7 linked regions of the Nothobranchius furzeri genome follow. The main gene of each other region encodes a partner of the protein of the gene in region 4 in a complex. Links are inferred from orthologs where the notes say so. Each region holds a gene or a part of one and is shown on either strand. Other genes may lie near its edges. The genes, in order: snip1, snrpg, sf3b2, snw1, rbm48, snrpe and rbmx2.

Region 1 (3,991 bases), on a different chromosome or scaffold from region 4:
TGAAACCTCCGTTGATTGGTCCTCGTCTGAGCGACAGCGATGAAAAGTTGAAAATGTTTCAACTTTCTGGGATCGCGTCGCTGGGTCGTCCGTGCACGACACGTGCACGAGTGCAAAATTTCACACGCACGTTTTTCGCGTTTCGCTTAGTAGGAGAGAGACCCCCGATTATCGCTTTGTCGCGCATGTCTCATTGAAAATGAATGGAGGAGAGGTGATGTCGCCTCCCGTGTGTTGAGCCCTTAACACTCATGCCTGATGATTTTCCTGTTGTGCCTCACTCATGTGTCTTTCTTCCTCTGTCCTCTCTCTTTTCTCCTCTTTTTCTGTCTCTCTTCCTCACAGCACTCCTGTCTTCTCTTCTGTCTGTACTAACAAAAATGTTGTCAATCTGTGGGACAGTGGGGGCGAGTGAGACTGCTGCACACACACAAAAAAAAAGACTGCTGCTTGCGTGGGCCCCCTTGTGGCTGTGGGCCCCTGGGCCTGTGCCCAGTTTGCCCATATTATAATCCGGCCTTGCCAAAAGCGCATCACGCACAGTGTGTGGGGTTTATGAAAAAAGCCAGATTATATTAATTATAGCATTAGCTACTGAACAACAAGCACACAAACAACACTTAAGTAATTAACTGGCGTTATTTCCCATCTGTATAATTTAAGCCGATGTGCTTTTTTCCGCTCTGGTTTGTGAGATGGGCAGCAGTTGTTGTTTTTTCCCTTGTCAGTGGCTCTATTCCCTTTTCCGTACAGAGTAGAAATAAATAAATAAAATGTAGGGCACAAAAAGTCTGGATCTCTTTGCTCTGTGTTTCTTCCAACAACTTCCGTTAATGGTACCCCTTCAATCCACACCTTTAGGGTTTGTCCGACTTACTTTGGTTGAGCTTGAGGCTGTCCTCTTAACCAAAACGGGATCGTCATATTTCAAGAGAGAATCGTCTAATTCAATCATCCTGACGCCTTTATGTACAGAAATAGCTGTTTATGTTGTCATGGTAACGTTCGGGCGTTTGCCGGAAAACAGAAAAAAAAAGATCTAAGCGCAATTTAAAAAAGAAAAATAGCTCAAATCCACTTGGAGTTGAATTTACGGCTTCATAAAAATATCTGTAGTTTTCATGATTTAATCCGTGTTATCTTTAAACGGAACGGAAGTCATCATAGCGGAACGTTTAGTTGAAAGCACATATACCACGTCGGAAGAAATTGTCAGCGCGCCAAACGGAAACGGAACGCAACTTTAGCAACCGTTTGGTGGGTTTTGCGTTTGTTTGCTTCTGTGGCTAACTATGCTTGCGTAGCCACAAAAAGTTGACGGATTTTGTTCAAAAATGGCCAAAGAGAAGCGACACAAGAGAAGAGATTCTCCCACGCGAGAGCCGGAAGTGAAAGTAAAACAGGAGAAATTGAGTCCGAGTAGGCCGCAGAAATCACGCCGCTCGAGGTCGAGATCCACAGACAACTCCAGTCCACAGAGGAGAAGAACCAGCAGGTAAACACGCGTTTGTCGCCCTTTGAGCACCACCAAGGTGATAATATTCAGATCTGATGTTCTTTATTTTCTAATAACTGAATTTAAATGTGACTTAAGTTGACACATCTTCAAAGGAAATGCTTTTTAGAAAAAAAAAGTTCAGATAATTTACGTTATTTCTTTATATCACAGTAAGTAGATTGTTATTAACACGTGTATTTACAACTATATCACGTTCAGCTTCAAGTGCCTATAGTACGTCAGTTAGATTATTAACCAAGCTCCTGTCTTACTCGAATGAGTACAAATCAAGAAACAATCAAAAGCATCTAAATATATAGTTTATATAGCTACATTTATTTAAATTTCTTATAATGTGTAGTAATATTCTAAAATCCAATGGCAATTAGCTAAAACATGCGTTTTAGCTAATCAAAACTTTATTAATTGGTATCAAAAACTAACATCTTAGATCCTCTACACACATTTTGGATATTTAATGCAAAGTCAAAGTATTGATTAATCTTGTTTAATTCCCACACCTGATCTCTTACAATCTCTAACACTGAAAGATGACTTTATTACTATTTTAGTTTGTAAATGCTGCCTAACTGATACGAGTGGCTTAAGAGTGTTTTCTCTTTTGTGCTCCTCACACAGGTCACCCGTGAGGACAAGAGACCGCTCACCAGGCAGAAGGGAGACCTCTCCTGTTAGACGAAACAGCAGATCTCCCAGAAACAAGAGAAATCACAGCCCTCATTGTAGCAGTGACTCTAGAATAAAGAGGGTGATTATAAAATTCTAAACTGAAACTGACTTGTCTCAACTTGTAGTCATGAAGGTTTTGTGTTTTTGTTTTAGGAGCGTGATGAGCATAGATCTAGCGGCGATGAGCGGAGGAGGAGGAACGAGCAGCCAGATGAAAGACGAAGCAGGTGGGAACATAACAGGTCCGGGGACCGGGATGGAGAGAGGCATCGTGAGCGAAACTCCCAAGTGACTCAGCAAGCTGAGCGGCGGCAGCACGATGAGCGGCGTAGGGAAAATCGGCGGCGGCGTGAAGAAAATCAAGAACAGGAGTTTGGACAAGCTGAGGGAGACGGCAGCGACTCGGGGGCACCGCCTGCTGATAAAGAGAAGCCCAACTTTGAATTGTCAGGGGCTCTCACAGAGGACACCAACACGTTCCGTGGGGTGGTGATCAAGTACAACGAGCCACAGGAAGCTCGAATTCCAAAGCGCAGGTGGCGATTGTACCCTTTCAAGAATGATGAACCCCTTCCTGTCATGTACATTCACAGACAGAGTGCCTATTTGTTGGGGCGGCAAAGAAAGATCGCTGATATCCCCATCGACCACCCATCCTGCTCCAAGCAACATGCAGTATTCCAATACAGGTATGTTGTATGTAAATGTTTTCACTGTGTGATTAATTAGATTTGTGGGGAAAATATACAACTAAGGATTCTGTTTATTCTGCAGGTTAGTGGAGTACACTCGAAAAGACGGCACCACTGGCCGCAGGGTAAGGCCTTATATCATCGACCTCGCTTCTGGCAACGGTACCTACCTGAACAACCAGCGGATCGAGTCTCAGCGCTACTACGAGCTCAAAGAAAAAGACGTTCTCAAGTTTGGCTTTAGCAGCCGCGAATACGTCCTATTGCACGAATTCTCCGACACGAGCGAAGTTGATGCAAAGCAGGAAGAAGAAGAAGACGAGGGTCTTGAGTAAATTACTCCCAATGTGTTTGTGCCTAAATTCATTTATGATGGATAAGACCAATGAGAATGTTAGAAAGTGGAGCGATGTATCTTGTGCGTGGGAATTCACACCACGTGGTTGGATTGTTATGTATATTGTGTAAATATTGAACTCTTGCTTAAACCTGCCACACCTGTCTCCAAGTAGACCTCCTTTCTCAGGATTAATGCATGGCTGATCTCATGTGTTATGTCAGGGTACATCATTGGAAAACCAACCTTATGTTTAGGAAAGCATTTCTTATTGACTTAATGAACATAAATACACAGAATATAATAATTGTATTTTTATTTTTTGCTTTTTTTTGTAGTGGAGGGGAAATACTTGATGCTATGTGTTTCTGCATCATTTATACAAAAACTTCCCTGTTTGATTTTGTCAGTTCAGGTGTATTGATAGTAAGAGTTCATTTTTCTACTGTAAATTAAAATATAGATTATTAAAAAAAATCTCTGTGATTGTTATTAAAGAGCAAGTAACGCCTAAATTAACTATTTTTTTTTGTGCTGATAACTTGCACAGATGAGTGTCTAATGGGGCTGTACACACGTGTAATCATTAATGTGGCAGTTTAGTAGCCTGGCAAGCCAGACTAAATAAATGTATTATTTACTTTGCAAAGCAAGAATTTGGTCTAGTTCACTAGGTTAGCAGTTTAGTGCGTCTTACTTAAAATTTGATACTTCAGCCCAAAACCATAATTATATCTCCATCTTTTGGTTAAAACCTCTGCTCCACATTTATGT
Region 2 (4,043 bases), on a different chromosome or scaffold from region 4:
TTGTTTTTGCTTAGTCTTAAACGTTGGCATATTTACTTCACCATTTGTACAATCCTTTTACATCATTCTTTGTATTTATTTTCCAGACCACACGGAACCACAGAAATGTACAGATGTCCATACTTCAACTGTCATTAAATACGTAAAACTGTCTCTCCGTGCCCTGCTCTCTGACCGGAGCCCTTATCTTGAAGATACTGTCAGATCAGCAAATAACTTCCAGAGTTCCCACTCTATCACATTGTTACTGGTCAGAATAAAGGTAGTGATGTCATTGTTACTGGTCAGAATAAAGGTAGTGATGTCATTGTTACTGGTCAGAATAAAGGTAGTGATGTCATTGTTACTGGTCGGAATAAAGGTAGTGATGTCATTGTTGGCGTCAGGCACTATTCCGGAAGGGCAAACAGGTTTTTGACCGCTGTGGCATGAAGACGTTTGAATGGGAAAGTAATCGGATTACTCCTATCATTGTTACATCCTGGAATGCAATCAACATTAAACAAGAAGCATTATCATAACAACTCCACGCTTAAGGCTGTTCAAGTAATTTAGTCAACATCGGATCAACACAGAGCGTCAACCAGGTCCCGGTCTAGCAGCCTCAGGAGTTCGAGTAATGGACTTGACTTCTACAGTTGCCTTCTTGAAATCACAATCTGGTTTTATTGTGTTCTTAGATATTGGTTGTGGGCTTCCATGAGTTTTCATAGTCAAACTTGGTTTCACTGAATTTTATTTGTTGTTTTTTACTTTGTCAAAAATAGCTCTTCTTCCTGTTATCTGTTGAATCTGCTTAATTTTAACTATACTTTTTAACTTGATGAGAATTTACAGAAATGAAAGAATAACTTTAAAGATTAGGTTAAATTGTGTAAATTATACAAACTGCACAACAGATTTCCATCCTGGAAAAGAAGAGAACGAAGTTGAGCTGACACTGCTGGGAGCTAGGGACTCCGGTCTGACAGGTAAAAATCAGGCAGCACAATGCATCTCTGTCGTTCAACAGCAAAATAAATGGTCAACTGAATACAAACAATAAGGTAGAAGGAACATAAAATATGCACTTATTAACATCGTTTTACATTTCAAATACATTTCAGTATAATATGTAATACTTACGTTTACTTTTGCTTTTTTGTAAGATTGACAATAAAATTGTAAAAGTTGTTTGAAACAAAGTGTTCTTGCAGATATTTGCAGATCCAACCCTAACACGTTCTCCTCCCCGCCTCGAGGGGGCGTAGTGGGACTGTAAACGCTAACTGCTTCACTTCCGGTCACATTTTCCTTCCGCGGTTTTGTTCAACGTAACCCCGACGAGCTAGCTCACCGGACTTCGGTACAAAAAACGATACAGAATGAGCAAAGCACACCCGCCAGAGCTGAAGAAGTAAGTTCACGTGTTTAAAAATAACAATTAGAAATTATTAATTTTGTTTCCACGATTTTAACGGAAAGAACGTGTTAGCCTGTTAGCTTTGCTCCATTCTTTACCATGAGGCTAACATTAGCAACCCTGCCTGAACTGTGAACCACCGTCGCCTGAAATGTTGTTTTATGTTTCAGATTCATGGATAAAAAGCTTTCATGTGAGTATGGCGTTTTACGAATATGTCTTTAAAGCCCCTATTGTGATTATGAAGAGTTTATAGTTTTAAGGTGCTAAAACATTAAAACCACGTGACGGAATAATAATCGATTGCATTTGTGTTGCGCTTTACATCACGACAATCTCAACGCGTTTAGAGGAAAGGAAAATGTTGATTATGAAAGATGAAAAGCTTTACTATAAAAGATCTACTAGAGAGAAACGTTTTCAGTCCTTCTTAAAAGCCGCTTGTAGGTTGGGGTGTGCTTAAACTCTCAGGGTAGGGTTAAAGGTTAGAGGGTGGAGGGCATTGTCCTCCGTGGTGCTCAGCCTGGTCTGGGTCTATGAAGCAAGTCTGACAAAAACCAGCAGATTTAAAATCCATCTAAGTCAAATCAAAAGGCTGAGAAGGGTTGGGAACACCAGAGCAGAAGGTGCAGCACGAGGAGCAACGACTGACAGGAAGATGAATAAAGAGACCAGAGATGGGGCACATCTGAGCTCGCGGGGAAGCTGATTTCATCTGTGTGCAGCATCACCCTGCTTGGTTCTGACCCGGTGCAGCTCAGGTCTGAATCAGTTATGAGTCTTTGTCCTTTAGCTCTAAACTGTAATTCTATCTGTGTGTGTTGTAGTTAGTGTTTTATCATGTCCTGGTGACTGTAAAGCACATAGGATTGCCTCTGTGTTTGAAACGTGCTCGAGACATAAAGCTGCCTTGTCTTCGTTCCTCTGGAGCCGAGCTGAGCAGTAACGTCCATCCTAACCTTCTGATTCCCAAAGACGATAACTTCAGTCTCGTCTTTGTTAAACTGGAGGAAGTTAGACTGCATCCGGTCGTTTGCTTGCCTCAAACACTGACAGAGTGAGTCTAGGGATAGGCAATTGTGAGTATACACATGCGCAATAATAAATATATTTCTTTGATAACTTTTAAGAGATCATTCTGTTGGTGTAAAATCATTTTTTAGGCATGTCAGCTAATGTTTGGTTAGATTTTAAATGTTTGTATTTACTTTTGTTTATTTAGCTGCATAATTGGGGTAAATAGCTTGGTTTGCAGGGGTTCTGTGAAGATTGTGCAGGGTTTTTCCTGCATTCAAATTAGAGCTGAGGAAAATAATCGATGCATCGGGATGCGGACATAAATCGTAGAAGAGTACGCCGTAATCGATTATAGTGGAATGTAGTTTTGTTTTTTTAACGGCGGCACCAGCATCTGTCAGAGTGAGCGTCCTCCACATTTACCACGTGGTTCCGCCTTGATGTGGTACTGCATTGCTGAGCGCTAGAGTTGTAACCTGAGCCGGAACCAAATCAGCCCGACCGGTTCTGTTGGATTTGGGCCGTGAATTATGTTAATTGAGCGGGTTGTCATGTGGCGCGCTCCGCTCGATCAGAGAGAGAGACTGTCTACTCACACGAGAGGATCGCAGGACGCTCCTCTAAACCGATGCTCCAAACACGCGTTATTGTTTTCATAATTTCTCCTGGAAGCGCTCAGTCAGACTTAGGGATGGGTACCTTTGACATTTGAATCGATCCGGTACTAATTCCCGGTACCTAGGAATCGATACCGGTACTTAACGGTATCAATTTTAGATACTTTTGAGTGTTTATTATTTTAATTCTCTTTTATAATTAAATATATATTTTTCTCAATATATAACCATATTTGATAAATATCACGATAAAAAACATACAACTGTTTGTATTTTAACATGGTCCTTGTAGTTTTATAAGCTGATAATTAAACTGAAGCAAACGTCTTTACTGTGAACTAAATTTACTGTGTATCTTCATTCCTTTTGCCGTCTTTTTCATTTGATTTTTCCTACTGGGAAGTTAGAATTTCCGAGGAGAAAGCGAACGCACCATTAGCTGATAACAATAGTAGCAATGGAAGCTAACATACCAAGCTAACGTTATCTTTAACAGTTTATTTAGCTGCTGGAGCAGATTAAAACGATGATGCCTCACACTTAGATCGTTGTCGCTGGTTTCATCTTCACCCAATCACCCGTCGCATTTAGTAAAGTGAAGCCAAACTTTAGAGCGCGTTCATGTTATTCCAGTCGGAAATTCGAAGTTCCGAGGAGAAAGCGAACGCACCATTAGCTGATAACAACGGTGGCAATGGAAGCTAACATACCAAGCTAACGTTATCTTAAACAGTTTATTTAGCTGCTGGAGCAGATTAAAACGATGATGCCTCACACTTAGATCGTTGTCGCTGGTTTCATCTTCACCCAATCACCCGTCGCATTTAGTAAAGTGAAGCCAAACTTTAGAGCGCGTTCATGTTATTCCAGTCGGAAATTCGAAGTTCCGAGGAGAAAGCGAACACACCATTAGCGAAACGGAAGCTAACATATCGAGCTAACGTTATCTTAAACATGTTATTTACCTACCGGAGCAGATTAAGATGAGGATGTCTCACTTAGATCGT
Region 3 (3,500 bases), about 55 Mb from region 4:
CATTTTACTGGCAGCATGCACTGATCAGTGACATCACTCACTGCCAAAATGGTCCTGACGTCTTAGCAAAGTCCCGAAAAGGTTGATTTAAGAAGTAAGAAGACAACGACGGAGGAGAATAGGCCAGCGCACCTTCCCCATCACCCTCATTCGGACGCATCGTTACCGGCCCATCCCATCCCAGAGTTCATGCACGGGAGATTCTGGTCCTTGCGACGATGGCGGGCGAAGCAGGAGAGGATGGAAGCATTTTAACCTCTTGTGGTACAAAAACTAAAAACTTCAGTGGTCTTGTCAGGATTTGTTTGTTTGAATGTCTGATTTTCAAATATATTTTCATCAAAAACGATGAGAAAACCCCTCGTGAAAGAGCCGATATGGTGAGGCCGCGTATTTCTTTATGTGTTCAGAAGTTTAGATTTAGCTTCTGTTTGGCACCGTGGAAGTTGCTAGGCGACAGGATCAGAAGGTTTACATCAACAGCCGTTCTCTTCTAGTCTCAGTGGATGAGGAACGACCTGACCCGTGTGGGCAGGTCCTAACGAGGACGCTGTCCCTGAATATGGACACATCCTTTGTCTCCCTGCTGAGAACCCTGATGCATCGACCAGTAAAAACGATGAACTAAAGGGGATGGAGGCAGCAGAAAAGCTGCTACACTCACCCGTCCATGGCCTCCTCGATCTTCTTCTTCCTCAGCTCAATCAGCTCAGGCGTCTCCGTGCCGATGGGCACCGACGAGAAGCCTCCAGGTGTGATCAGCCCACTGAGGAACAAAAGGAAAGATTTGTTTCATCTCCTACCCGTCTGGGAGAGGGTGATGCTGACAGGACACAGACCCACTACACCCACACAAGAGATCAGGTAAATCTAACCCAGTCTAACCAGTCACACAACTGTGTTCTTTAACAGCATTCAGACCTGTCAGCTGGTGTGAAGAATCCAGTTTCATCTGGCTTCTCTTCATCGCTCTCCTCCTCCTCTTCCTCCTCTGATGACTCCTCATCTGAAGGCTCCAGCTCTCCCCACGGCGTGCGGTCCACCTCCTCCTCCTCTGCTTTAGCCTGGGGACACACACACATACGCACACACACGCGCGCAAACAAAAACACACTTTTACACAGCTAGAAAAAAAAAATGAAATAAAATAACAGAATCAATGATAAACATGATTTTCTTTCTTGTAAATTTGGGCTCTAAAAGCTGAAAATAATAAACAAAGTGCTTTAGAGAGCATCACATCAACCAGACTGGCTTTGATCTCACTGTTCCAGCTTGATTTTTATATTAAACTCTAAAACATGAACTCTATTCCTAATCTGTCAACAAAAACGTAATAAAAATGACCACCAGCTAGACTCCGCCAGGCTGTGATAGCATCAGAGTTTGAAGGAATCAATAAAGTCTGATGATGTCAGCAGGCCCTGGTTTTCATTTAGCACCTTTTTTTATATTTTGTGTGTAAAGCTGTTTTATTTCTGACCTGGAAGTCAGCGGAGTTGGTCCCAAACACGTCGCCGTAAAGCGGTTTGCCCATCTCGTCCACCGGCGGCTTGCCCCAGCCTCCGGCGTGATAACCAAACGTACAGTTCTGGTGATCAGGAACACACCCGGAAGCAGGAAGTTAGTAGGAAGCATGACACAAACACAACCAGAGGAGACCACGATGAACTCTTACATCTGGGATGGGCGAGTTGAGTCCAGGGATCTTGAGGTTGGGGTAGGAGGGAGGGGGGCCGTACCTCTGCATGGCTATCAGCCAGGGGGGGGGCACCTTGTGGGCGTTCTGATGGACAAGAAACAACACAAAAATGCTGAGTCATGAAACCATTTTAACACCTCGTTACGAGTAGCCTCCACTGAGCGTGCTACTATCCATGTTACCATGGTGATGCAAACAGAAGCATCACACATGTTAACAGAAGAGGACAGCTTACCGGTCCCACGGGCATCCCCAGAGCGATCCGCAGCTCATCAGAGAGATCTCCTGGTTTCTTCTCTTTCAGACGCGTTTCAAACTCTTTACCCTAAAAACAAAAACACGCCATGAGATGATTTTTAAGTGAGGAGCAGCCAGAGGAGTGGTCCCATACCTCGTAGTAGAGGTCTCCATGGATGGTGAGCTTGGGCTTGATCTGCCACTTGAAGAACGCGTCGTGGAGCTTCTGGTAGTCGATGTCGATCTTTCCCATCTTGGGACGAACCTTCTCTCTCATTTTGGTTTTCATGGTTTTGGCGTCCTCCTGCAAGCAGAACAGCTCCCATCAGTGACCACTAGAGGGCGAGGGAGGCAGAGGTCCCGCTGACACCCACCTTCTCCTGCAGAGCCTCCCTCATCTCCTGGATCCCCGTCCTCCTGATGAACTCCGGCAGCTGGAACGGGGGCTTCTCTATGCCTCGCTTGCCCTGCAGGTACTTGCGTTTGAAGCACCAGTGGCGCGGCACAGGGACCGTGTTCCTGGTGGCCTTCAGGTGCACCAGCAGCTTGGGCTCCTGAGCCGTCACGTCGTGCATCTCCACCACATCGGGTCGGGCCACCAGCTGGACGTAGGAACATTTGTGACTAAAGACTCTGATACCAACTACAACATCAACTAGAAGGAAGCTGCTCTACCTGTTTGAGCTCAGCCACTGTCAGCCTGTTCATCCTCCTCAGCTTCTTCTTGGACAGTTTAGGAACATCCTGTTTGACTTCCTGTGAGGTTTTTGGACGTTAAAGGGGCACAACATGTTTTTACCCACCAGAAAGCTCAAATGACCGAGTTCGTACCTCATCGCTGTCATCACTGTCTCTCCTCTCCAACTCAAATCCTTTCTTTCGCAGAACGCCTAAAACTTCCTGCTTTTCCGCCTTCTCCGGCTCCTTCTCCTTCTCTTTTTTCACATCATCAGTCAGCTAGGAACGAGGAAGGACAGGAAAGTGTTATCACAACAACACAGAGACACACCTGAACCTGTGCTGCTGATTAAAATCACCTTAAAAGCCTCAAAAATCCTCTTGAAGAAGATAAAGTTCGGGTCGTAGATCTCCGGCTCATCTGTGACGTACTCGATCTCCACCTCTGGCTCCTTCCCTTTCTCTTTCTCCTTCTCCTTCTCACCACCTCCCTTCTTCTGCTGCTGCTCAGCTTGTTCCTTCTTCTCCTGAGCTCGCTTCTTCTTGCTCTTCTTTTTGCGGTTCCTCCTCTTGCGGTTTTTCTGAGAGAGAAAAAAAATTGCTTGTTCAACTCAAAACGGGATCAAACTTGGTCACTACTAGGTGCTCCTGAGCTTTGTGCAGATGGGACTTACATCTTTTTTAGACATCAGACCATCTTCGTCGTTCTCAGACATCAGCGCTGAGGAATTGGTGGCATCCATGTCCCTCCCATCATCGTCGTCGTCTGTAGAGGGGAGAGTCAGTGAAGCAAAGAGCTAGAAACAGAGTAAACATCGGTGTGGCCGACGCTCGTCTGAGGGAGCTAAAGGAGGCTACAAAATCACAAACTGATGATGACCTG
Region 4 (4,066 bases):
ATTTCTTCATCAGATGGTGAATATTTCTCTCCAGAATCGGAGTCAGCCATTATCAGACAAAGAGCTTTGTCAACAATGAGCAGACCTGTCAGCATCGCAAGTCTCTCCACTCTAACATAAAATAATAGATCTAATAGATTTGACCTCTGTGAGCTCCGCTCCTCACCTCCGTACGAAGGGCAGTGTTTAAACTCTATAAACTCTGAAAACATCAGTAGAAACACCCAAAAGTGTTGCTCAGATTACAGTTACACATCTCCACTATCTGCCGGTGTAAAGTAATAACTTCACCAGGAATTACATTTGCAGCCGTGGTTCATTAAATGCAATATTACATAATGCACAGTCCTTCCCATGCTATGGTTCTAAATATTGACATCATTTATTTCAGTGTTGTGGTTTTTGGCCTTGGTTTCAGCCAAGAATTTTCCTTTCAGTGCATCTCTACTGTTTGGCTTCAAAAATGACAATTTTCACCCTAAAGCAACAAGATTGCAGGTATGTAATAAAAACTTCTAATAAGACATAAGCCAACTTAATTGTGAAAAGTTTAATCATTATCAGGTTTATGGGATTTGTCTGAATCCACTTAACTACAAATAAACACATCAAAAAAGGCAATGATAACCAAACATACCTTGTCCTTTCCCTGTCCTTGTCTGGCGATGGCATCATATTTGATTTTTCCTTCAGCATCCACTTGCACAGCCAGGGCATTGGACGTTCTCTTCCCCCTGCCCATCTCCAGAGGAAACTGAGCCACATGGATTTCTGGGAATGCCCCCCCATCTCCAAAGTCCTGGAAAAATAGATACACCCAACTTTAAAACCACACCAAGATTTTTTTTAGTGTGGCTATGAAGCCAAAAGCTCTGTTCCATTTCTAAAGCCTTAATGGTGGGAACTACCTCCAATGCGCGGGGTACCCAGCCTTTCCTGTGTCCATAAGGAGGGGGCTCTCTACGGGACGCAACCAGAGCGGTGGAGTAAGCCTTTTGGGCGCATAGCCTCTCCTCTGCCTCCAGCTGGTCCTGAGACAGCTGTGTTGGCGCTGGTAAAAAGCTTCATGAACAAAGAAGAACAAATTAAAAAGTGTTAAGTGAACTAGTATTAGCCACTAATGACAATAAATATAAACACAAAGGGGAATAATTGAGCTATTTGGACACAGGAGCCGATTTGGTCATGTTTATGCTTTACCAGAAGTTAACACTGACACATTTGATGTACTGTAATCTTATTGTGATACTGAGAGACTACATACTAGTAATGCCAATAATAACAATTTGGACTTTCGACAGGGCCACTCCAAACATCGTTCTATCCTTTGTCTGATTGCTGGTGATGCTTGATGCCACTGCCACCATGCAAGGGGAATATTTATAAATCATCTTTATTATGCTGTATATTTTTATTAATTGCTTTTACTTTAAAGAAGCAAGTTTCTTCCTTGTTGTCAAAATGTGTTTTTAATTTGACAATTCATGTCAGACAAGTCAAATAATACTGAATGTGAATTAGCTTCAGCAATAAACATGTGAAATATCAAAGACTGAGTAAATATTTATAACAGGATGAACGGAGAAGTATTTGACGCCGACAACAGCAGCACGCTCTGAGGAAGGAGACAGCATTAGCCGAAACTTCAGCAAAAACAGGGTATAACAACTCTTGCCGTGTTTGAAAAAGAACCAAGTAAAGTTGTTAGGAAGAAGAGAAAAACAGAATAAACATACATAAGATATTTATAACAGGACTGATCTAAGCACTATGACAGAATCCCAGAAGGGTATTGGTGATTGGGCACATCATGCAATCATGTATTATGCGATTTTCTAAAATAAAATAATAATAAAAAATCCCATTCTAGCACTTTCAACAAGAATTCATAGCATTTTGTTGCACCTTACAGATAATTATCATGAATATCTTTTTTCCCCACTTATCTCAAAGTAATTGTTACTAGCCTGCAACAAATGTCACATGCAGTTTAAAGCAATTCAAGTGCTTAAATAAAGTGTGTGCACATTTTAGCACATGAGAATAGCTCTCCCGTGAAGAGTTCTCCCAGGAAGCATGAAGAAGTCAGTATTTTAGAAGTGAATCGCCTTATTTTTCCTTTGCACAGTCAGAACATTCTTTCAATCTCATTCATTAACCAGGATGCGTTTCCCCGGCTGAAAAGACCAAAGACGAAATTTAAATTCTGCACAGTTTGATTTCAGCCTTTTAATTTATTTTATTTTATCGTTTTACACAACAGATGCAAGCAGGAAGGGGGAAGAACACGGGGAAACATCAATGCTCGTCTAGCCCAGGGCTTCAATATAAATAGTAGTATCATGAATTTAAATGACTGAATATTACAATTTGGTCAAATGAAAGCCATAATTAAGATGAAATTGACCGAAAAACTAACTTGCTCAGCGACAACGACTGCGTGTTGCAAGATGGCTAATGCTACATGTTTAGCCGACGAGCTAAACGATAGCCTCGGCTACTGCCGCTAGCTTCGATTAAACCAATTAAAATTAAATCGTGAACTTCGGCGATAAAGCCTGAATATGTAATTTTCCTAAACGTTATTATGAGTCCCAGTCAATAGCTCTTTAAATAGCATAAACAGACAAGGCCTTGTCAACGAACTTACCTAGTAAGCGACATGTTTAAGTTTTTCTTTTTGGATAAACTGAGCATGCGCACAGCGGCATTACATCACTTCCTGATCGTGCGACTGCTCCTTACGTAGACCATAGAAATGAATACGTAGACGCCCCATTGTGCGATGGAGAGCTTTGCCGCCATATTGGATGGGTCTCCTCACTCTCCGAGGTCAATGCCGAGTGGGCCGGTGTCAGTACAGGATCTGCTCGGGTGCAAGATCGGCTCGGGGTCCGTCGACTGCCGATGACGTCTAAGTAGTTGATTGGCTGAACATGAACCTTACGGAAATACGCAATCACGTTACGTTGTTATCACGTTACGTTGGTCCAGGCAAATCTTTCCATTGGAAAGATGGACAACTTTTACAAAGAAATCCATCATTACCTCTTTGAAAATACACTTTTAGCATAGAGCTGCATGTATATTAGGGCTGAACGATTAACTGCATGTGCAATTAAATTGCGATGTGACAAAAGGAGATTTTCTAATCTCAAAGGCTTCAATTTGGCAGCGAGTGGTTAGCGTAATGCTAATATACATGGAAAAACCCATAGGAATGCTAATGCTAATATCGCCGATTACATTATTACAAATTATGAATTAGAAACGTGCCAAATGATTACATTTGGAGTCTTAAAGAAAGTAAAAATACCATCAATCAAATAAGTACAGACAGGTATTTTAGTAAAGCCAGGAGATTTTCTAATCTCAAAGGCTGCAATTTGGCAGCGAGTGGTTAGCGCAATGCTAATATACATGGAAAAACCCATAGGAATGCTAATGCTAATATCGCCGATTACATTATTGCAAATTATGAATTACAAACGTGCCAAATGATTACATTTGGAGTCTAATAGAAAGTAAAAATACCATCAATCAAATAAGTACAGACAGGTTTTTTAGTAAAGCCAGAAAACTTTTAACTCCAGAGTTTTGGCTAGCAGCTACAGTCTATGACAAGACGTCAACAACTCTAAACACAAAATACTTAAATAAACGGGACACACTTCTTTCCTGCAAATACAATTTTACAGGTGTTGCTAATACCTATGATTCTTCAAGCCAAGGGATGTGCTCAAAGAGGAGTTCAACATTATGAATAAGATATATAAGAAATAGTGTTTTATTTTACAAATACCATTATAAACACAAACTTATGTCTTAAGAAACATTATTTTAATAACGAAAGTGCTAAATTCTTTCCAACAGTATAGATGTGTAGTGCATTTTGTCCGAGTCGGTTTGCCGTACTTTGACGTCATCGGGAGTCGAAGGACCCCGAGCCGATCTTGCACCCGAGCAGATACTGTACCGACACCGGTGTCGGTACATCTGCTCGGGTGCAGGATCGGCTCGGGGTCCTTCGACTAGCGATGGCGTCAAAGTAGATTCGCTGAACATG
Region 5 (4,244 bases), on a different chromosome or scaffold from region 4:
GTTTTTGTAAAAGTCTATTTTGGGCTGTTATTTTTCTTTAATTAGTACTGTTCTAATGTTTTTGTGACCATTTTATTTGTTTGGTGGTAAATTTGCACCCATGTGAAGGATTTCAAGATTTTCCTAATATGCAGAAAGTTTTAGCAGTTAAAATATTGACAGTGTGAGATAAAATAACATGCTCAGGGTTTCCTCTACGATTTTGATAAACCGTGGTGGAGAGACGTGCGGAGACGGTCGCTCTGAGACACGAGCAGTATGCTTTTCGATGAACATTCCTGCAGGTGTGTGTAAAACATCCATCCATCCATTGTCTGAACCCGCTTTGTCCATGTAGGGTCGCGGGGGTGGGGGGTTGGGGGCTGGTGCCACCCTGAACAGAGAGCCAGTCCATCGCAGGTGTGTAAATCAGCTTATTGTTTAATTACAATTAAATAAAAAAAATGTAAAAATATATTTACCTTGAAATAATTTGTATTGCTTGATTCCCACCTTGATTACAGCCATGGGCGGAACTTGATTTCTGTCCATTTTGGGTCCCAGCCAGATTCTCTGTGCTGACTTTTTTCTTCCCTCTTACCGCTTCCCTGCTGCTCTCTCCCTCATCATGCTCACTTATGCATGCTGGTCCTTGTTCTGCCTCTCCACTTGTCTCTCCTTCGCTCACCTCCTGATGGTTGGCGCGCACCAGAGCGGTGTCCTGAGCATGGCGACAGTAACATTCTCAGTGTCTCCACGTATAACACACGATTGTTTATGTCGACTCGTGTCCTTTTTATGCTTCCTGTCTTTTATTTGTGCCCGATGCGTTTTGCTGCTGCGGAGCGAAGCGCATCACCTGTTTTGTCCTCAGGTGACTTCACCACACCGGTGCGCCCTCGCTAATTTAGCGGTCGGTAGATCTTTTTGAACTGCAGTTTAAAGTTTTGTTGCAATAAAATTTATTTTAAACTGTGACTATGGTTAGTACACATGCACAAATATAGACTATATATGTCTCGTTATTGTTTTAATGTATATCCAAAAAAAATGTTTCTGAAGGTACGTTGTTTGAAGTTTTTTTTTTGTTTACTTCTGAAGGTGTGGCAGCTTTTATTTTTCCGTAGTGGCGCGCCACGGCAACATGCACATAGGAAACACAGTATTAGTATTTCTTTAGCTTTCTAAATGTAAATTTGTGCACTCTTTACATAATAGCTGTTTTTTTTAACCTTTTTTATACAGGTTGGTATCATAGCATACAACAGCCGATGAGATAAACAGTTTTCCGAAGCAGTGGGAGCGTCGGTTTTCTTCCAAGACTCCCATCTAGACACCTGTCCAGATCATATCCGACGACGTGGTTTTGTCTTTTTCTCAACAGCTTTGAAACCCGGAGCAGATCCCACCTGAAAAAAAAAAAAAAAAGATTCACATGTTTTAATCCTTCATTAAGGCTGATTTACTTTTTATGAAATTATTAAAGTACTGAATCAACAATGACCTGTTTCATTGTGTTCCTGATCAGGCTGGCAGTTGTGTTCAACGAGTCATCATTCATGTCCAGTTTAGGTGGTTCTGGTAATTTCGGTCCAATCAGGGTCTCGGTTCCTCCAGAAACACTTGCCGACTGCTCGGGAGCCTCTTCCATTCTGCGTTTCCTGATCTCCAAGTGCGAGGACCTTGGGAGAAACCTGAATGCTGAAGCCTGATCTGAGGTCAGTCTGTGTTCTGTGTCGTGGTCTCTCTCTGAGGCTTGGTTAACGCTTAACTTTTCCACTTGGGGCTGTTTCAAGTTTATGATGGCATCATGTAAAGTTCCCATTTTGTCCTCCTGTGCGCTGATCCCATGTGGACTGTTATGTCCAAAGGGATGCTGCTCCCATGGAGGTAATGGGAGAGGAGGGAATTCTGCATGTTGGCTGTGGTTTGAAGCATCCTCTGCACATTCTTTTTTAGAGGTTTGATCGTGTCTGACGTTTATGTCTGATGCAGTCGTCGATGATGCGGAGCCTTCGCTGTGCGCCGCTTTTGCTTTGTAAGAGAAGATTTGTTTTAAAGCATTGAAAAGCAACATTTAAAGGTCAGAACTAAATCAAACATGATGTTAAACGATACCTCTGCTCCGAGCTGCTCTCATAACATAACCCCTCCGGTCCTGTAGCTTTAGCCTGGTGTCTTCTACAGTCTCATACTCTGGGACGTAACACACATGCAGCACACCGCCGTAGAAGCTTTTCTCATCCATGTTGCGTTTGGCTGCTCTGAAACAGAAACATTCGATAACGATTAAGCAGGTATTTCCAGTAAAGTATGAGGAGCGAATAAATCGTACCTGGCGCTGGTTAGCTTCTGGAACTTGATGAGGTAGACTTCTGTAAACTCCTCAGCCGGATACTCGTCCAGAGGTCTGTACTCCTCCACAACACCATACAGGGCACACAGCTGGACCAGCTCCGTCATCACACCGATAGCTGGGACTCCCAGTACCATCAGGAAACGGGACTCTAGGTTAATGGTGTACACCTGGAAATTCACAAGACTAAAGTTACATTTCCTGCGTTCAGTGCAGTATTAGAATGATGTTACCAATTAAGCTAAAGCAAATCTTGTGTGTCTTCTTTACAGAATTTATGAACATTTTAGCTGAAATTAATAACTTCTAAGATTGTCTCACCTTAACCGCTTTAGCTCTTCTTCCTTCTCGATACTTTGGTCGAGAAATGCAAACTTTCTGCTGTTCGTGATGTTTGTGAACGTCAGGAACTTTCCAACAACCGGAGCTGTTGTTTACAGGGACCGCCATGCTTATTCTAAATGCTGTTCCGGTTTAACACTTTCAAAATAAATGCTTTTAGTTCAGTGAATGCGTCTGCACTTCCGGTTTAACACTTTCAAAATAAACGCTTTTAGTTCAGTGAATGCGTCTGCGCTTCCGGTTTAACACTTTCAAAATAAATGCTTTTAGTTCAGTGAATGCGTCTGCACTTCCGGTTTAACACTTTCAAAATAAACGCTTTTAGTTCAGTGAATGCGTCTGCGCTTCCGGTTTAACACTTTCAAAATAAATGCTTACAGTTCAGTGAATACCGTCGCGCTGCCTGTTAGAATACTCTTTTATTTTGAAAGCAAAAGATCAACTACTTTTGCCTGGTGAGGAGTCCATCGTCCACAGAGCACATCGATAAATCCAATTGCTCTCTCTGCCTGGTGTATGCTAAGCTAGCTAGCAATGCGAAAATTATGTTTAGCAACCAGGGAATTCAAGCCGTTCGTGTCGTTTTTAACAACACAAAAAACTGCTTTCTTCACCTCCCTTCCAAGTTGGTAGCGCATCTTTCCTTGAACGAGGTAGGTTAGCTAACTAATTTCATGTTGATTTACTGCTTTTTAGATCATTTCTGTACGTTAAGACTTAGTTTTAATGTATAATGTCTGTGCTAGCATAAACAGATGACAGTTTTTAAACGACTAGCCGGGTTGTCTTATGCTCAGATGAAAGTACTTTTGTTTGAGATTTTATAAACATGCAAAGCAAACAGTTACCTAATCAACGACAGCTGCTGGTTTTTAGGATTTTCAGGTGAATTGCTTCCTTGACATCTATGTTTGCCTTATTTTACTGCATTAGAGACTTAGAGAGACACACTTAGACTACTGTAACTCTCTTTTCACGTGTCTGAGCAGAACCTCCCTGAACCGTCTACAGGTGGTTCAGAACGCCTGTGCTCGGCTTCTGACCAAGTCCTCCAAACGCACCCACATCACCCCGCTTCTCCTCCAGCTTCACTGGCTGCCAGTCAACTTCAGGGTTCATTTCAAGATCCTGGTTCTGGTCTATAGAGCCTTACATGGACAAGCACCATCTTACATTGGTGATCTTCTTAGTCCCTACACCCCCAGCAGGTCCCTGAGGTCCAGTGATCAAAGCCAACTGGTTGTGCAGCACCAGGCTAAAGGTCAAAGGTGACAGATCATTTGCTGGTGTGGCCCCCAGACTGTGGACCTCTCTCCCCCTGAGCCTGAGATCAGTGGACTCAGTGGTCTCCTTTAAAAAGCAGCTGAAAAGTCACCTGTTCAGGCTTTGGTGGGACCTTCACCACCCTCTCCTTGTTCTGCTCTTTGCACTTATTCCACATTTCCGTGATCCACTGATTTCCCGCTTCCCTATTCATTTTCTCTCTCCCTTTCCTTGCATCGTTTGCATTAAAACACACACACACACACACACTGCAGCCATGGTCCTTTAACACATAAAATGCTTA
Region 6 (3,963 bases), on a different chromosome or scaffold from region 4:
ATAATAAATGTCCTGAGTGCTGCCGTCTCCTCCTCTGGCCATTATTTCAGCTTTAGCTTAAAGAAAGTTTTGGTTGTAAACAACAAAGTGCGCATGTGCCGCCGGCAACTTCAGCAGATGATACGGTGGCTGGTAAGGGTCACCGCGCCTACACCGCAGCCACGGTAATCCACCGAGATAATATAGTTTTTTTTAAAAACAAGACGGTTATTACTATTGTCAACTTTTTTACCGGGGTTTACCGCTACACCGGTTACCGTGACAACCCTAGCCCTGACACACTTTCATATTCTCATGGTGCAGCTGTGTTCTCCAGAGATCAAGGACTAGGACCCAAATGAGGCTGTAATGCAGCAAAAACGTAAAAGAACCTGCTGAACTTTTCCCGCAGGACAAGTGTAAAGTTTTCATCCTACAACGAACAATACGGCACGGAGGAAGTTCAATATTTAATATGAGTTTTAGAGAAACTCTGGGCCGTGTGAGGTGAGTTTTTAAAGTTAAAAAAATCCTTTCACAGGCCCTGAAAACACTCTGAAAAACAGCCCATCCACGTGGGTATCCAGCAGCAGATAACCTATCAGGCATCCCTGTTGCATATGGAGGTAAGGAAGAATGAAACAAAGCCATTACTTACGATTATGCAGCCCTCTATCCTCATGTTGACCTGCTCATACAGCCACACCTGGATCCGTGAGCGCTGGGGACAGGCAGGGAACAACTTAGAGGTTCTTCATCTAAATAAAACCATTTCAAACTAAAGGGATAGCAACTTACATTTTGAAGGTATCTGAAGATAAGGTTCTGAAGGTAGAGTCAAGGAAAACCAACGCTCAGCAGTAACAGTACACGCACGTCTGTAGCCTACATTTGTACTCAGTTGTAGTGTTACCTTTATTCATTGCCATTAAAAGTAACTTATTACATTTTAAAGTAACAGAGTTACACTCAGCAGCTGCCAACATAAAAATCAGTACATAGGATTTGGTAACCATGTCCTGAAAATAAATGACAGCGGGGCTGGGACTGATGGTCGGACATCTCGGGCCGTGCCTTCATTCAGGTTTCACTTACAGGTTCCACTCCAAACAATCTCAATGTAACCGACCCGGCACAGAGGAGTTCTGCTCGTGTTCGGGCCAATGCCACTGACCGACTCTACTTTAGTTAGACCCAAACAAACATGTTTACACTTATTGTTATTATAAACCACAAAGGCTGAGGAAGACGAGGCTGAAGTTGGCTTCAGATCCGGGAAACCGCTAAAGGGCAATTACGCCCAATTTTTCTCTGACCATCTTTAATCTGCTCTGGCTGGAAAACTACAACACCTGCACTCTTCAAACCTGAACTGGATTATTCTAGACTAATAGCAGATTGCAAAAAACATCATTTGTGATTTGTAAAACCTTTTTCTGATTTGTGAAACTTCAAGAAACCAGATTTTAGCACGTTTTCTGCATCTAGACCACACTGAACAGCCATAGTTTCAAAACAACAATACCTAGACATTTCAAACCTGTACTGGATTATTCTGCACTGGTAGCAGAACAATTAAAATCAACTCTGATATTTGTGAAAGCTTTACTTAAAAGGCCATTTAATACCTTTTTGTGGTCCCTGGTTTCACAGCTCTGTTTCAAATATGACAGATGTTTAATTCAGGCTTTAAAAGTACTTTTCAGTAGAGGAGCCCTTAAGGAGCTCATGTATCTAACAAGGTATACTTAAGATTCATTATCGCGTGTGCACTAGGGGCACTTCGTTAGAAGGATTCAGCTAAACAGCTCACTCTAAATTCTAATAATCTGATAGCTGCTGACTGTATATCTTGTAGAAATTAAATATTAAAATCCAAATTGGTAATGCGACCCGTGTTTCACCCGATAATAAAATGTTAAACATGAGAAATGACCAGAGCCTAACTGTTTACAAAGCCCATTAAGATCAGGATTAAACTGATCAGCTATTAAGTGCTGCAGATAAACAGACTTTAACTTTTCATGTAAAATACCAAAAATAAAATTAAAACTCAGAACTTCACCGTCCAACTTCAATGTTTAGTTCATCCAATTCACATGTGATGAATCATGGACTATTTAAACTATGTTCGAGTAACCTGCCATTAGTCTAGGATATTGCAGTACAGGGCTGAAGAGCGCAGGTGGTGTCGTTTTCGAGCTAGAGCAGATTAAAGGTGGTCAGAGTAGAGAATAATTTGCCCTTTAGCCATTTCCCGAAGAGGTCGGAGGGCAGCTGTACAATGGCGTCCTCAGAACCTTTTCGATTACAACTGCAAAGTCCTACAAAGTACTCTGGATAACCGATGCTTCAGGAGATCAGAAGCTCCCATCACCTCCAGCGGTACAGCTAACCGGAGCCATTAGCATTAGCGGCGCTAGTTTTGCTGCTAAGTTCGCCTCGGGGCCGTTTCTTTTTCTCCGACATGATGCGGAACACGTGCATCATCTCATTAATTTTCATAAACACCAGAATCACACAGTTGGAACGGAATCCGCGCGTTCGTTCAGCGAACTGGGCCACCGGTTAGCCAGGCTGCTAAACACCTAGCTCCACTCACGCGTTCTCCATCATACAAAGGATACGATGGGCTGCACCATGACCTTCTGCACCTTCTGTCCTTGTCCTCTGTACGCCATCTCTCCAGCAAAACACCAACGAAATGTGTTCGGTAAACAAAAACTGCACCTTCTGGACCAAATGCACCTTAACGTTTGACCCGCGTTGAGAGCTAGCTACAATGGCAGGTTTCCGCGCGAGCAGGATCTTTAACCGGTCTGATTAACCGATTTTTAACAAACAGCAACGGAACAGCGCCTCCGCAGGACGGAGGACTCTACTGCAGCAGCCTGTTCGTTTTAGCACACCCTCAGGTGCCAGACATCAGAGCATGGAGGGAAAAAAGCAGGTTTCATTCAAACCCCATCAGACTTCTGACTTCATACCGTACCAATTTATTTATTTCATTTAAAAGCAGCATGGGAGCTGACCAAATGCGCATAACAATACAGTAACAATAAAACTCATAAAAACACCAATAAATCAGCCAATAAAAGCAGATAAAAACTACAATCAAACACACAATAAAAGAGAACTTTAAAAAGTCACAATCTGAAAGCCAAATCATAGAAGAGCGTCTTCAGCCGTGTCTTGGATGATGACTGATGGATAGTGAGTGACAAAGGCTCGCTTCCTCTTCGGGAGTAGCAGGCAGTGAGCAGGCCGCACTGCATCAAAGGTCTCAGAAAAAAGGTCTTGTAGCCTGACTAAACTTTTCCTGAGCTCCTTTTGTCTGCCAGACTTTTTTCTGAGACCTTTAGATCTGATTACGTAGTCAGAAGTCTGATGGGTTTGGGTTTTTTCTCTGTGGTCTGGATGGCTTTTGTGTCCCCAGAGGTGTTGTTCCAGGATTAGATCCGATCACGTGATTGGCTTGTTGAGTTGAGCTCATACCTCCTGGGGGTCAAAACAAAGTTGTATGCGTATATTTTGTAGTGTGTCGTCAGTCTGGGGCTTTTGGCCTCTAGATGGGGCTGTGTCACTTTCCAGATTTTACAGTCCATTTGTAAATATGAGACTTGGTTAATAGATGGACAAAAACAGAGTTAATTCCTCATCTTGATGTGTATAAAGCCCCTCTTTTCCCAGGAAGAAGGCCTTTAAATCCTGAATCTGACCATTGCTGGACAAAGCCGTTCCCCGTGATATTTATAGGTGGTTTTATAAAAAACGGGGTCTGCCATTTCTCTGTTGTGCACAGTAAACCTGTAACATGATGAGCCGAGTCAAGGAACACAGCCTTGAGTAGTTCACAATAGTATTAATAACATGCAACACAGGCTTGTCCCTGCCTCACAGAGGAGAAAGTGGGTTGATAATTAGCAGCCGAGGACAGACAAGTCTCTGCGAGTGGGGGGGAAGGCAAGGACCCTTGGTGGTGCA
Region 7 (4,255 bases), on a different chromosome or scaffold from region 4:
CTGGATGGACTTCTCAGAGAGTCTGCCACAGTAATCCCTGACCAGCGCCATCAGCCTGAAACATGGACCGGTTCTGTTCAGTCAAGATGTTTATCAGCTGACATCTAGGTGACCAGCAGGCAGCTCCATCTGAAGGTTCTGTTTAGAACCAGAACAAACCTGTTGAGGAACTCGATGATGGTGAACGGTGAGGAGTCGGCTGTCGTCGTGGCGACCCAGTAAAGGCCTTCATGTCTGACATGTACAAAGTGCAGGTCTCTGTCGCTCTGCGGGACACAGAATCAGGTTTGTTTTACTTTTGACTCTCGAATCATCTGCATGGTTTCAGTCCAGTTCCTCAGACAGTAAACAGACGCCGAAACATCGTTGCTTCATCCTGATGTGACTTCTAATCTAGTGGTTCTGGTTTGACCTACTCTTCGTGTTTGGGTCAAATCAGAACTCAAAACAACACAACAGTTTGGGTCTAAATGTGTCCCAGACTGTGGAGGCGTTACCGTGACGACCAGAGGTTGGTCTCCAGTCAGCGCTGTGACCTTCTCATAGAAGATGTTGACCACATCGTTTCCTCTTTGGCCTCGGTCTGATTGTTGGCTTGGGTTAAGCTCTAACTCCTGATAGGGTAAAGTCTCACGGGACTGGAAGCAAAAGGATACAGTCCTTGTAGATGAGATGGTCCCCCTTGGAGGACAGGATGAAGACCTGAGAGATCATCCTCCTGAAAGGAAGATCACAAGCACAAGATTAATGATAATGATAACTAATATTTATATGGAATATCACACCTTATTGATCATTTAATAAAAGTGACCACTTCCGTCACGTTACAACATGTTTATCAGAGTTGGAATAAAGCCAAATCCTATCTAATTTATTGTATTATAAGTGTTAACAGCACTGTTGTGTACTGGTGAGAACCTGCAGATAAAACTACAGAAGTTCCGCTAACGGAAAGGTGGATCTGTGAGGGGTTACAGCTGCTGTACTCGCCTGCGGAAGGTGTGGGGTCTACCTGGAAGAACCAGATCTTACTGCGGCTATTTTTAACAGAACTTCAAAGGAAATGAAAGCACGGCTGGTGCTGCTTTGGCTAGCAGTAAGCTATAGATAAACTTTAATAACTCACAGGGCCGCAGTTTTCAGAAACGCTGAATACAACCAGATAAGCTCATTGTCTGCAGGGTTACAAAGCTAACCTGACAGAAAGGTTTTGGGTTTATATTCAGGTTATAGCTACGGTTTACGACACGGCTCCGTTAGCATGTAGCCCCACAGCGCTCCCTTGTGGACAGGAGGTTGAATGAGGATTGCATTAATAACTTTATATTTATTAACTTCACGATGAGTGAACTCATAGCTACGTAAGAAATTGCTTCAGATACATCAACCTAGATGGTTTGGGTGTGTTATATAAACCCGAGAGAAATAATCTGCACATGTTTAATGATCGCTTGTAGTTTAGATCTCCAAACTGCAGAGGGCAGCAGAGACGAACCAAACGGAAGTGGTCTACCTCAACAAATAAAACGTCTGATCTGTGCCCTAATTTCTGTAACTAACTATGAAGTAAGTACATTTATGTATTCATAAATGACACGAACCACCGACACAACACTGTTCTACTTCTTGTCGTGTAGTTAAAGTAAAAAGAGCGAGTTCGTTATTCTGCGGTTTGATGACTGATCCTGGTGCAGCATGCTAGCTGTTAGCTAGCTCCTACTCGTAGCCGATCGGATTCTGCTCAAAAAACAGATAATTTAACATTTTTTCCTTAAAAACCAGAGAGAGCATGTAATAAAACATAAACACCCAGTTGTGTTTGGGATGTAGCATGTATCTTTGATGCTTCAAGAAGACATTTGATCATGTGTAGGTTGGCTATTGTTTTGTTTACACCCCTGACCTTCTACTACGTGTTTTATTCTAGACCAGTGTGTCTGATAAAGTTGACTAATAATTTATGTCAACTGCTGATGAAGACAGGACCACAAGCTTGGTCATATGTGGTGTTATCTTTTTCTCATGAATGTTTCTACGTCTGCTGCAAAAAAAAAGATCATTCGACTAATAAAACACACCACTCCGATCGTATTTACCCCGGAAGTCAAAGGGGACACATTTACATGTATATCCAGCCATTGTCTGAACCCGCATATCCTCACAGGGTTCTGGGGGGCTGGTGCCTATCTCCAGCAGTCTCTGGGCATGCAGGCGGGGTACATCCTGGATGGGTTGCCAGTCCATCGTCCATCGTAGGGCAGCCCAGAGGCACACAGGACAAACAACCATGCACAGCCACCTAAGGATGATTTAGGCAGACCAATCAACCTGACAGTCGTGTTTTTGGACTGTGGGAGGAAGCCGGAGTACCCGGAGAGAACCCACGCATGCACAGGGAGAACATGCAAGCTCTATGCAGAAAGACGGGCTGGGATGTAAACCCAGGACCTCCTTGCTGCAAGGCAACAGCCCTCAGAATTAAAATGTCAAATTTAAATCAAGCCAACAAGTGAAACGGAGCAGCTCGACCAGGAACACCGTGGTCCTGCTGGAGGAACAGGATTATGCCTGCTGCTGCTGAAGGGTCATTAGGGTCAGGCTCAAGGTTGGGGTTGAATAGAAAAGCTCGACTCTTTTTCTCTGTAGTCCAAACAAAAAGCAGTTTTTCTTTCTAAATTGTCCTGACAGCTTTTCACAATAAAACTCCAATTGAGTCAGAATCAGGTCCAGTCCCTAACGGGACGATTTACTGAGCAACTTGTGTGTTTTCAGTCCTCTAACGAAGGTGAAGCTGATTAACGAGCTGAATGAGCGCGAGGCTGACCTCGGCATCAGCGAGACCGTCTCCTGGCACACAGAGTACCGGGACAGTGCCTGGATCTTCATCGGTGAGAACTCCTCAAACCCAGCCCTTCACACGTGGAGACGTTGGGATGAGTTTGGTGTTTTGGGCTTTTGGAGACGATTTGCTTCTGTTCATTAACAACATAAAAAGGGATCTCATGAATGAAACTGTTGAAGTGGGTTTGTTTGGTTCTGATGATGCTTACGAGGTCTCGTTTCCTGCAGGAGGGTTCCCCTTCGAGCTGACTGAAGGAGACCTGATCTGTGTCTTCTCCCAGTACGTACATGCTTACGTCTCACCTGCTTTACGTTATAGCTGACATGACAGTGACGTTTGTCTCCTCTCGACAAACCTGCCAGGTACGGAGAGATCGTCAACATCAACCTGGTGAGAGACAAGAAGACGGGGAAGTCTAAAGGGTTCTGCTTCATCTGCTATGAGGACCAGAGGAGCACCATCCTGGCAGTGGACAACTTCAATGGCATAAAGGTGACTTCCTGTCCTCACCAGGTCCTGGTGTGGACCCAGCGCCGCTCCTTGCTGGCCCACAGCGGCATCAACATGGTCTCTGATGAGACAATTAGCTAAAATCTTTTTGTTGTTGTTTAAACGTTCAGATTAAAGGTCGAACTATCCGCGTGGATCACGTTAAAAATTATCGTCCTCCCAAAGACAACGAGGACATGGACGATGTGACCAAACATCTCAGAGAAGAGGGCTGTGCTCCCAAAGGTCCTACTGTTGTCCCCTCTTCCTCTGAGGAAGAAGAGCAGTGCGTCGTACCTGCGAAGAAGCCCAAAAAAGGTGAGGTCACTTCCTGTTACCTGAAAGTCACCTGATCTAGGACCAGGTGGACTTATTTCCCTTTTCTGTCTCAGATAAGAAAGAGAAGAAGAAGAAAAAAAAGAAAGAGAAGAGGAAGAAGAGCAGAGCTCCCTCTTCATCACCTTCTCCTCCTCCTGCAGTCTTCAGACTGAAAGAGGAGAAGCAAGACGCCGCCTACGACAAGTACAACCACAAGGAGGTGCCTGCAGGGCAGAGGACGAGGGACACGGAGAGAGGAAAGGGGACAGACAGGAATGAAGACAAGTGGAGGAACTGTGAGAGAGAGGTGGACAGAGACAAGGACAGAAGAGACGACTATAGGAGACAAGAGATGGACAGAGACAAAAGACGAAGAGAGAGGGAGTGGGACGAAGACAGAAGAAAAGACGGAGACAACAGGAAACGGGAGCCGTATAGAAAATAGACAGGTTGTGATTGGCCGATCCATGGTGTGTGTGTGTGTGTTTTAATGTTTCGTATTAAAATCTGACCTGAACACCTGATACACTTCATGTCTGATGTCCAACACCTGAGGACGGGTGAGACTTTTACAAAGCAACACGTTGGCGAACTCGTGAAGCATTT

What was found.
Region 1: snw1 (region 4) and snip1 share a complex: the UniProt entries of both Homo sapiens proteins name them as parts of the SNARP complex. The link is inferred for Nothobranchius furzeri from reciprocal best matches to the Homo sapiens genes SNW1 and SNIP1.
Region 2: snw1 (region 4) and snrpg share a complex: the UniProt entries of both Homo sapiens proteins name them as parts of the minor spliceosome. The link is inferred for Nothobranchius furzeri from reciprocal best matches to the Homo sapiens genes SNW1 and SNRPG.
Region 3: snw1 (region 4) and sf3b2 share a complex: the UniProt entries of both Homo sapiens proteins name them as parts of the minor spliceosome. The link is inferred for Nothobranchius furzeri from reciprocal best matches to the Homo sapiens genes SNW1 and SF3B2.
Region 5: snw1 (region 4) and rbm48 share a complex: the UniProt entries of both Homo sapiens proteins name them as parts of the minor spliceosome. The link is inferred for Nothobranchius furzeri from reciprocal best matches to the Homo sapiens genes SNW1 and RBM48.
Region 6: snw1 (region 4) and snrpe share a complex: the UniProt entries of both Homo sapiens proteins name them as parts of the minor spliceosome. The link is inferred for Nothobranchius furzeri from reciprocal best matches to the Homo sapiens genes SNW1 and SNRPE.
Region 7: snw1 (region 4) and rbmx2 share a complex: the UniProt entries of both Homo sapiens proteins name them as parts of the minor spliceosome. The link is inferred for Nothobranchius furzeri from reciprocal best matches to the Homo sapiens genes SNW1 and RBMX2.

The regions. Positions count from the first base shown.
Region 1 is NC_091745.1:70,706,952-70,710,942, forward strand, and holds snip1 (smad nuclear-interacting protein 1), read left to right. Parts: upstream 1-1,191; 5' UTR 1,192-1,334; coding exon 1,335-1,495; intron 1,496-2,137; coding exon 2,138-2,267; intron 2,268-2,341; coding exon 2,342-2,877; intron 2,878-2,962; coding exon 2,963-3,215; 3' UTR 3,216-3,694; downstream 3,695-3,991. Other genes in the region: dnali1 (axonemal dynein light intermediate polypeptide 1), read right to left, coding at 878-955. UniProt on the Homo sapiens protein: Required for pre-mRNA splicing as component of the spliceosome. As a component of the minor spliceosome, involved in the splicing of U12-type introns in pre-mRNAs. Down-regulates NF-kappa-B signaling by competing with RELA for CREBBP/EP300 binding.
Region 2 is NC_091755.1:44,512,153-44,516,195, forward strand, and holds the start of snrpg (small nuclear ribonucleoprotein G), read left to right. Parts: upstream 1-1,243; 5' UTR 1,244-1,364; coding exon 1,365-1,396; intron 1,397-1,572; coding exon 1,573-1,595; intron 1,596-4,043. UniProt on the Homo sapiens protein: Plays a role in pre-mRNA splicing as a core component of the spliceosomal U1, U2, U4 and U5 small nuclear ribonucleoproteins (snRNPs), the building blocks of the spliceosome.
Region 3 is NC_091742.1:75,387,253-75,390,752, forward strand, and holds part of sf3b2 (splicing factor 3B subunit 2), read right to left. Parts: intron 3,384-3,500; coding exon 3,292-3,383; intron 3,199-3,291; coding exon 2,977-3,198; intron 2,897-2,976; coding exon 2,771-2,896; intron 2,696-2,770; coding exon 2,615-2,695; intron 2,542-2,614; coding exon 2,314-2,541; intron 2,244-2,313; coding exon 2,094-2,243; intron 2,028-2,093; coding exon 1,938-2,027; intron 1,787-1,937; coding exon 1,679-1,786; intron 1,592-1,678; coding exon 1,484-1,591; intron 1,065-1,483; coding exon 922-1,064; intron 767-921; coding exon 665-766; intron 1-664. UniProt on the Homo sapiens protein: Component of the 17S U2 SnRNP complex of the spliceosome, a large ribonucleoprotein complex that removes introns from transcribed pre-mRNAs.
Region 4 is NC_091742.1:20,646,474-20,650,539, reverse strand, and holds the start of snw1 (SNW domain-containing protein 1), read right to left. Parts: upstream 2,801-4,066; 5' UTR 2,698-2,800; coding exon 2,651-2,697; intron 1,063-2,650; coding exon 909-1,062; intron 800-908; coding exon 638-799; intron 1-637. UniProt on the Homo sapiens protein: Involved in pre-mRNA splicing as component of the spliceosome. As a component of the minor spliceosome, involved in the splicing of U12-type introns in pre-mRNAs.
Region 5 is NC_091759.1:22,195,766-22,200,009, reverse strand, and holds rbm48 (RNA-binding protein 48), read right to left. Parts: upstream 2,801-4,244; 5' UTR 2,786-2,800; coding exon 2,657-2,785; intron 2,506-2,656; coding exon 2,315-2,505; intron 2,244-2,314; coding exon 2,098-2,243; intron 2,014-2,097; coding exon 1,484-2,013; intron 1,389-1,483; coding exon 1,326-1,388; 3' UTR 403-1,325; downstream 1-402. Other genes in the region: peroxisomal ATPase PEX1, read left to right, coding at 3,223-3,330. UniProt on the Homo sapiens protein: As a component of the minor spliceosome, involved in the splicing of U12-type introns in pre-mRNAs.
Region 6 is NC_091743.1:2,209,500-2,213,462, reverse strand, and holds the start of snrpe (small nuclear ribonucleoprotein E), read right to left. Parts: upstream 2,801-3,963; 5' UTR 2,661-2,800; coding exon 2,607-2,660; intron 805-2,606; coding exon 778-804; intron 701-777; coding exon 638-700; intron 1-637. UniProt on the Homo sapiens protein: Plays a role in pre-mRNA splicing as a core component of the spliceosomal U1, U2, U4 and U5 small nuclear ribonucleoproteins (snRNPs), the building blocks of the spliceosome.
Region 7 is NC_091750.1:26,772,697-26,776,951, reverse strand, and holds rbmx2 (RNA-binding motif protein, X-linked 2), read left to right. Parts: upstream 1-1,455; 5' UTR 1,456-1,561; coding exon 1,562-1,566; intron 1,567-2,772; coding exon 2,773-2,888; intron 2,889-3,069; coding exon 3,070-3,121; intron 3,122-3,204; coding exon 3,205-3,334; intron 3,335-3,462; coding exon 3,463-3,649; intron 3,650-3,723; coding exon 3,724-4,094; 3' UTR 4,095-4,173; downstream 4,174-4,255. Other genes in the region: ap4m1 (AP-4 complex subunit mu-1), read right to left, coding at 1-55, 160-266, 498-583, 657-718. UniProt on the Homo sapiens protein: Involved in pre-mRNA splicing as component of the activated spliceosome. As a component of the minor spliceosome, involved in the splicing of U12-type introns in pre-mRNAs.